2 linked regions of the Schizosaccharomyces pombe genome follow. The protein of the gene in region 1 purifies or fractionates together with the protein of each later gene. This does not show direct contact. Each region holds a gene or a part of one and is shown on either strand. Other genes may lie near its edges. The genes, in order: cnx1 and pho4.

Region 1 (4,711 bases):
ATGGCTGCTCACATGAGTTATAATACATTTGTTTCTGTGAGTGAAAATCTGAACAAACTAAAATCGTCTATTGGTGCAATATTTGGTATTGTTTCATTGTTGTCGCGGCTTAAACGCCTAGTTTTAAAGTTCTTCAAGCATTCTAAAATCGATGAAATGAATTCACAAGAATATGATGTATTTGAGAAGGAGGAAGGAAACCATAAAAATTCAATATATTCAATTGTCAGTAGCTTGGCAATTATTCTTGGGTTGGTGGGCTTACCTTATGCAATAATTAGGTTATTCAAAAATATTTATGAAAAAGAAAAACAGATTCAACAAGCAAAAATCAGAAAAAAAATTGATAGTCTTGAGTTTTGCAAGGCTGATTATGAGTTTATGTCCAGAGATCCGGGAGTGGAAATGTCTTTAAAAAAAGGAGATATCATAGCAATTCTATCTAAAACAGACACCCAAGGTAATCCTTGCGAATGGTGGCAAGGAAGAAAGAGATCTGGCGAGACTGGGTGGTTTCCTTCAAATTATTGTTCAATCATTTCAAGGTAACGTTACGATATTTTGTTTGAGGACAATAAAATGTCTGAATCCCGTATAGTAAACGAACTTTTTAGTTTGACAATTTATTCTACTATTCTCACAAGATATGTAGACAAACATCCTTTCTCTTGATTGCAGAATTTCACGCATTACTTGCACTTGTTTATGGGAAATGCCTGATCATTTCTCTCTGACGACTAATGCGCAGTTGTAAAAAGTTTTTTGATAGTACTACCCACGATTTATAAATTCATAGTCTATTTATTGATATTACTCATAATAAGAACTAGAGAAAACATTTTCAAGTATTTTATAATTAGACTAAGGCTTTTAACAGAGTCGCTACTTTGAGTCAAACTTTGTAAACAAAATATGCTGTATTAGTGAGTATATATATTGATATATTCATTTACTTCAGTCAAAAGTCCACAAAGGAACAGGAAGTAGTTTATTGCAACTTCTATGCGATTCTTAAAATAAGAAAAACTTTTGACATTTTAGCAGTTTCATTAGTCTTCATTCTTCGCAGTTGGTGATTCAGTTTCGGGAGCGTAAGAAACGTCTATCTTCTCAGTCTCAGTCTCTTGCTTAAACTTCTCTTGCTGCTCTTTCTCAGCTTCCGTAGTTCCAGTAGATAAAGAAGCCGGGGAAGAGGAAGCAAAGAAATAAAAGTAACAAGTAAGAATAACAGCGGTTAAAGAGCCAAGAACGGCAACAATTGCAATCCCAATTTCAGGAGTCTCGATGATGGTTTCAACATAGTAGTCAACTTTTTCGGCAACATTTGGAGGAAGTTTAGCTTTAATAATATCATATACGTCAAGAAACTTCTCAAGAATTTGATTAGACTCTTCGTCAACATGCATTGATTGCTTTTCCATGGACTCTTGCTTAGAAAGTAATTCTCTTTCAGCTTTCAATTTAGGTAGGAAAGTTTCATTTCCAAGACGTTCAGCGTCCTCAATTGAATGGCCGACATAGATATTGCTAAAGCGGATGTTGGGCTGCATAGTCCAAAGTTCGAAACCAACACCGTAGAGTGGACCGAAATGAGAAGGATGATCATCATCAAAATAGTCAGGGTTAGGAATTTTACGAGGATACCATTCACCAATGAATTCAGGATTAGGGATCATAGGAGGAGACCAAGGGCCACGATAGTTAGGGTTACGAATCATCGGTGGCTTCCATTCACCACAGCCAGCACCTTCAATGCATTTAGGATTGATGATTTCACTTGGAATCCAATCACCATCTTCTTCATCATCCCAATCCTCAGGCTTCTGAGCTTCAGGATCAGGAATGTAAAGAGGTTCATCCTCTAACCAATCCTCAGGTTTCACTGCGTCAGGATCAGGAATCATACGGGGAGCGTCTTCATCCCAATCATCAGGCTTAACCGCATTGGGGTCAGGAATTTCAGGTTCGTCAACCCAATCAGCAGGCTTGATATCTTCGGGATCGTAAATTTCAACGGGAGGAAGAACAGGAGGTATAAAATCATAAAACAAAGATCCTTGACGGACAACATCGCCATTAATACGGACTTCGAAGGTTTGGTCAGGCTTCACAATTAAAGTGTAAAGGTTTGTAATACCAGGTTTCAAAAGGCTGGCGGGTCTAGAGTCGAGATGCTTCTCGGAATACTCACCCGTAAGGGGATTCTTATGCTTGAAGATAAAATGAACACGGTCATTAACACCACATTTGTCGGGTCCAAACATGATTCTGTAATCGATGGAGTTTGACATTTCACCATGAGTGGGTTCTGCTAAGAGCTTTAAATATGCACCACCACAGTTCAGACCCTCTTCGGGGTTAACCTCATATTGAACTACCAAATCCTTTTCTGGTTCATTTATGGGTTCATCAAATTCATAAGAAATAGCATGATGAGCGGCTTCGTCTTTCATAACGAGACCGGCTTCACCCTTAAGGGCACCGGGACCAGAACTTTCCTCAACAGTCCATTCACCTACATAGCTCATTTCTTCAATACCATTTACAAATCGTTTAGCATGTGAAGGAATCCAACGTTCAGACCATGCACCTTGAAACTGCTCAACAAGAGGCGCTTTCACTTCAGTTGGGTTAAAAACCAAAGGTTCTTGTTCGGATTCAGGATCAGCAAGTGATCCCCGAACATATAAAGAGCACAAAAGCGCTAGAAAAGATACCTTTCCGTACTTCATTTCCACGTGTTGGGTGGTGTAGTTGATAACTACGGTGCGCGGTTTTGCGTGTGTTTTGGTAGTACTACGGCTTTGATCGATGAGATGGATCAGCAAACATAATCGAAAGAATAATGGAGAAGGTTCCGGAACGAAAAACAAATCGCATTAAACTTAGATGATTAGATTTGAAAGACCTATCTGGTAAGTTGTATTTGCATTAGATCTTTATATTTATTTTACTTCTTACTTTGTGAATTACGGAGCGCAATGTCTTGCTATAATGAAGGTTGCAGTAACATGTTTACAGTAAACGTTTGCATTTTAATATACTAAGTATTTGGCTTTAATTGTTCTCCCCATTAAGTAAAAAAAAAGAGTAATGCAAACAATGAGATAAAATAAAAGTTTACAAACTATCACTAGTCATAAAGCCTTGAAAGCGCTATACTCGTAGTCTTTGAATCTTCAATCATTAGAATATGCTTTAGTCTGACGCATAACAACTGTCAGGTATCAAACAAGTTTTTTTATTCTCGTACACCATTAGCTCAAAATTGGGACAATCACAATATTTAATATGTTTTTTTTTTAAATAGTTTATAGTTAGCCTTTAGCAAAATCTCAAATAGCAAATATTTTTTTAGCAAGTCCATCATTATTAAGTGCAAATATCTACCGGGTTAAAGAGAAAGATGACTATTGTCTTGGTAACAGATTGAAACATGAAATCTATGAGAGTAATATCTATTAATAAAAACACACCGCTTTGCACTTCGTAAATTGCTTTCATACTCTAGTATAATAAGTTTTACAACATCTGATACATATAATTTTTATTAAAGAGTTAGTTAGTAAACAAAGATTTGTTGTTGTGATAAAACAACTATTTTGTATTGAGTATATTTATTCATTGTTTTGTTTACTTTTAATTTTGATTAAGTAGCAATGTTACCTCTAAGCAGTTCGAGCAAATACCACTTTACCAGTACCCACCTATATTCATAGGATTAGTACACCACGGTGCGTTTGCTTGCTTTCAACTGTATTTATTATATTTCTTTTAAATTTTGTTTAGATGAAGATCTTTAATTGATAATCTAAAAACTTAATTGGAAAGTTGAGACTTGACCATAGTAATTTCATCAATAGTTACCTCAATTTTGGATATTGGTTAACCTTCTTTTAATTCTTCTCCCTTTCTCACTGCTAGTATAACATATATCAAATCAAATAAGCTGGAAAATTGGTTACTTGAGTACTTAATTTACGATCTTTTGTCGGCAGCAAATAGATATATTCATTTATCTACGAATTGAATTTTTTGTTATCCCCCTAATACTTGATTACAATCTTTTGGTTTCAAATTGTCTCTTTCTTTTTATTCCTTATACCACGTCAGCATTTTCTACGTTCCATTTTCAACTTTACTCCTTCAAACCTTATAGCTCTATTTTTGTCATCGAGAAACTTTTGAATCTTTTATTAATATTCCTAAATTTTCCTCTAAATGTTTCCTCTTGGCAGTGTCGTTGAGGTAATAACCGGAGAGCGGGGGTTTGTCCGTTATGCTGGAGAAGTGGAAAACCGAAAAGGTGTGTATGTCGGCTTGGAGCTTTTACCTGAATTTGCCGAGTTTGGTAAAAACAGAGGCGTCGTTGATGGTCGTGAATACTTCAAAACTAAAAACAACGAGAAGACGGGCATTTTTGTGCCATTCGATAAATGTAAGCTTGCATCTTCTATTTCATCATCACCTTCTCCCAAAATAGATGGAACTGCAGCATCAATAGGAATGGGTTTTCCTCCTATGTCTCCTAATCTTCAATCATCTATTCCAAGATTAACCAATGTTTCGTCCTCTAGTAATCTCAGTATGAATACTATTTCCTCTACTGCCTTAACGCCAACCGAAAAAATTCTTCAGAAACGTATTGAGGATTTGCTTTACGAACGTCAAAACCATCAACAGCAATTGGAAGAAGTGTTGGCTACGGTTG
Region 2 (4,063 bases), on another chromosome or scaffold:
ATCGGTGATTTTGGATAGTATCTTAAAAAATAAGAAAATTGTCAGAAGAAGCACCTTCTTACGCGAAGCCTTAGTTTTATCATTTGGAACATCTCATGGCAATGTTCATTTTGATTTATAGAGCTACAGATATTAAAGGGTTTAAAAAAAGGGATTGATTGATTCTTTTATCCGTGTAATGGAAAAGGAGGACTAGGGATTTTTTTTTTGGCAAATTACATGACTTTCAAATATTTTAAATGAATTCTATTAAACTTTTGTGTCGTTCGTGTGTGGTAAAAGGTGAGTTGTTGACGCCAAAAGGAATCGTTAATGTACGCGTTATATCTTGAGAAATGTTTAAGATTTATCCCGACCTATTAATATTAATGATTTGGAAAGGAATTACAAAAGCTACGGAGTCACTTGAAAGGCTTTGAAGTAAGTCGAATTGAAGAATTAGCTTCACCTAAAGGCGGTACGAGTGAAGGTTATAGATTTCGTACTAGGCATTTAAAACTATAAGTATTTCCTTTTTTGTTCAAACACTGACACAACTCGTTTATACTATGTCTCGTAAGTCTTTCTTGAATATATAAATGCTCACTTTCTGTTCGCTCTACTTTTCCTCCTTAATACCTAAGTCTTATACATAAGCTATTACTATAGTTAAAAATTATCTATATTATTCCTAAGGACCCAATTGTGTTAACAATAATATAAGATGCTAAGTCTAGTAGTAGACGGTAACGTTGGTGGAATGCGCCTGACATTGCGAGTTAAAATTAGCAATACCATTAGAGGTAGAATTAACACGAACCGAAGAATTCAAGTAAGCGCTCAACTCGCATAACCCATCTGAAGCACCACTAGGACCATAACCGCAATCAGTAAGGGGGTATACTTGCTGGTTGACGAGATGGCGTACATAGTATTTATTATCAGAACATAAGAAAAGTTCAGTAATTAAGTTTCCTGCGAAGGGAACGAACGAAGAGGTTTTTAATGAGTATGTAAAAATGTTTTTGTCAGTCGGTAGAGGGTGCTCAGGAGTAATGTCGGGGAAAAACCCAAGAGCAGCCTCGACTGGAATAATTTGAGAGTCGTGGGTAAACGCTAAGAATACCTTACGATCGGAAGCATTATTCACACCCTTACGAAGATTATTTGCAAGGTTATTAACATAAGCCCCACCTAATGTGGAAGCCCATTCTGAAGCGGGACCACCCCAATATGCGTAGTCAAGGTCACTGTCATATTCAAAATTCAAAAATTCAGAGGGAGTAAAGAGTGAACAGAAATCGCTGTTATCTCTGAGAGCGATCTCGTATACACAAATATAGTAAAGACTGCGAACATCCGAAACCGTAAGATTATAACCGCTATCAAAGTATTTGTTTAAGCGATTGGCGATAGGCTTGAGAAAAACATTACGCCAACTAGTATGGGCGGCTTCAGTAGTGTTTTCATCAATATTGTTGTCTTCATAAACGGGACAAGAGTAATACATAGCTAAGGAGTTTGCACCCGCAGAATCGTCTTCCGGAAGAACGATGAAGTTGGTTTTGTTCTGCATATCATCGCCAAACATTCCATAACTAAACCATTCTGCAGAGTCGACAACACGTTCTTGAGCAGCAGTATTGATATCGTAGACATCAGTGTCGAAAAGCTCATAGTAGCGCTCAAAAACTTGACGGCCCAAGTCAAAAAGTTCAATTCGACCGCTGCTGGACAACTGGTCGGCATTTTCAGCCTTTATCACAGGAGTCCAATGTTTAACGAAGTAAAGAGGATTTTCAGGATAGCTAAAATTTACCGGAATTGAGCCATTTAGAAGCTTGTTTTGAAAAATATCTATATATTGCGCACTAGAGACATCAGTGGCAGTGTCATCCCCAGTCGGGTTTCGAGATCCATGACGCTGAAGCAAATGAACCTGTTTAATTGCACAAGATTCGGGGAAGGAGGTAGTGGGCCCATTAAAGTAGGGTTCATGATATACACTAATCGTTCCAAGATGGTCCTTGAAATAAAACTCATTTTCAAATGCCTCAAATTGAGATTTACCAGCATGAACGATGGATGCGGCCAAAAGCCATAGAGAAATACCACTTAACTTCATCGAGAAAAAACAATGAATTTATGTAACCCAAGCAGACCCAATAAAACCACAAGAAAGAAATTTACTGTGTATGAATCAACCAACGACCAGCGATTCAATAGCAAAAAAAATAACGATCGAATATTTAAAAGCGGGTTGAAACGAACGGTAGTCTATTCAATCAACGAACTTTGATTATTTGAAGTAGGAAAAGTCTAAAATAAACAGTCAAAAGATGACTATTCTAAGCGCAAGAAGCAGCAGATATTTATATACAATCAATCCGGATATCTGCTAACACTAAGCACCCCGGCTACCACCAAACCAAAGTCTGATTTCGGCACGACTACATTGGAATTAAAAAAAATGAATGAAGTTGCAAACCTGGTGTAGTTCGCTATTAGACTTTAAGATTTTGGACCCACAATTGTTAACTGAAATAACGATGCAAATTACGGACAAAGTGTTACAGTAATATTATGCGATTAATAATACAACGGTGTAATATAATGATATTATTATTACTGAACTTACAAAAATCTGATATTCCAATACTTAATAATTTAATAGAACTAAAGAACGAAGTTTCAGTTGGAAATGATTTTGCAGTCTTTTTGTTTTATATAAATTTATATTATATAATAGCAATGCCTACTCTCTGTGAAATGGAATTATAAATGATAATGTAATACAAAATGAATACTATTGTGTAAAGATGTGCAAACATTGTACGAGCTGCTACATAATATTGCATAATAAAGATATTTTTACATGTATATCACTAATAAGAAGTTGGGCATTGAAGAGTATTAGTCTGCTATCTTTGCAAATTGCTTCTAATATGTATATAAATAGCTTGGGAGAAAATTATTATTAATATTTAGTCTTTAGTAAGATCCAACAATTTAATTTATTAGAGCTACTTGTTTCATGCCGTTCTTAAATGTCCAGAAAAAAGATTTATTCATTCCAATAGAATAAATTAATATAATAAACAAGCATTCCCGCTATTCCAGCGTTAATATAATGGGTTTCATATGCATATTCAAAATGTATATAAAGGGTATACTAGCCACATTGTCATGTGCAGCCCTCGCTTAAGTAATAGCTTAAAACAACTGTGGGGTTATTGAAGAAATGAAAATGTTAAAAACGTAAAAGTTGTTTGTTTGTACGGTTGGACCCTCTAAACACTTTTTTCTATTCTGACATTTAATTAATTTTATGATGAAGATTTTTTTTATGTTCAGTAAGTAAAGCGATGCCTTATAACAATATTACAATGGTAATGGTATAAATAAAGATAAAAATTTTATAGCAATTGCAAGAATGAGTACTTTTGAAAACTCGGTTATTGGAGAATCAAGCTGAAGTGGTTGAAGCGAGCTAGTAATAACTCACTTTAAAGCATTTACCAATTGAAGTCTCACAAGCCTTTTGATATTTCGAAAAGGAAGGAATTATGCTAGGCACTCAGCATAAAAAGAACCATTTTATATGATAAAGGGCAAAGGGAAATTAATTTTCTCTCTATAATAGTAAGTATACTGTTGGATATTTATTCCAAAGGAAATATAGGCGGTGAATTCTACTTTTATCTTCTGATCTCTACGCTTTTATTATCAACCGTAAGAGTCTTTCTTTTATAGTAATAACAATCCAGTTAAAAAGGGATAAAAATACTTATCTTCCTTTTTATATATTACTAATCCTAAAAGAGCTTAGAAATAAGCAATTTTTTATTAACTAGTTCTTTATAAAAGCATATTTATAGAGAAAAGCATTTCATGAAATTATGCTATGTACAGCGAAATACGAAAATAAAATACCTCCTTTGACTAGAACTGTAAGCAACAAAGAGTAAACAATAAAAGCTTGTAGTCATTAGCAAATTAGATTTTTTTATCAGTAGTCTCGATATTAGATGAGATATGTTGACATAATCTGTTTGCCAGTTCTTTCTTTAAATGAGTTTTGTTT

Evidence for each region.
Region 2: the proteins of cnx1 (region 1) and pho4 purify together in Schizosaccharomyces pombe (affinity purification with western blotting, with the first as the bait; one study listed by BioGRID). This does not show direct contact.

The regions. Positions count from the first base shown.
Region 1 is NC_003424.3:2,085,566-2,090,276, forward strand, and holds cnx1 (calnexin Cnx1), read right to left. Parts: upstream 2,760-4,711; 5' UTR 2,733-2,759; coding exon 1,050-2,732; 3' UTR 828-1,049; downstream 1-827. Other genes in the region: pex13 (peroxin 13), read left to right, coding at 1-549; CLIP170 family protein Tip1, read left to right, coding at 4,222-4,711.
Region 2 is NC_003423.3:444,705-448,767, forward strand, and holds pho4 (thiamine-repressible acid phosphatase Pho4), read right to left. Parts: upstream 2,325-4,063; 5' UTR 2,105-2,324; coding exon 713-2,104; 3' UTR 620-712; downstream 1-619. UniProt on the Schizosaccharomyces pombe protein: May dephosphorylate thiamine phosphates.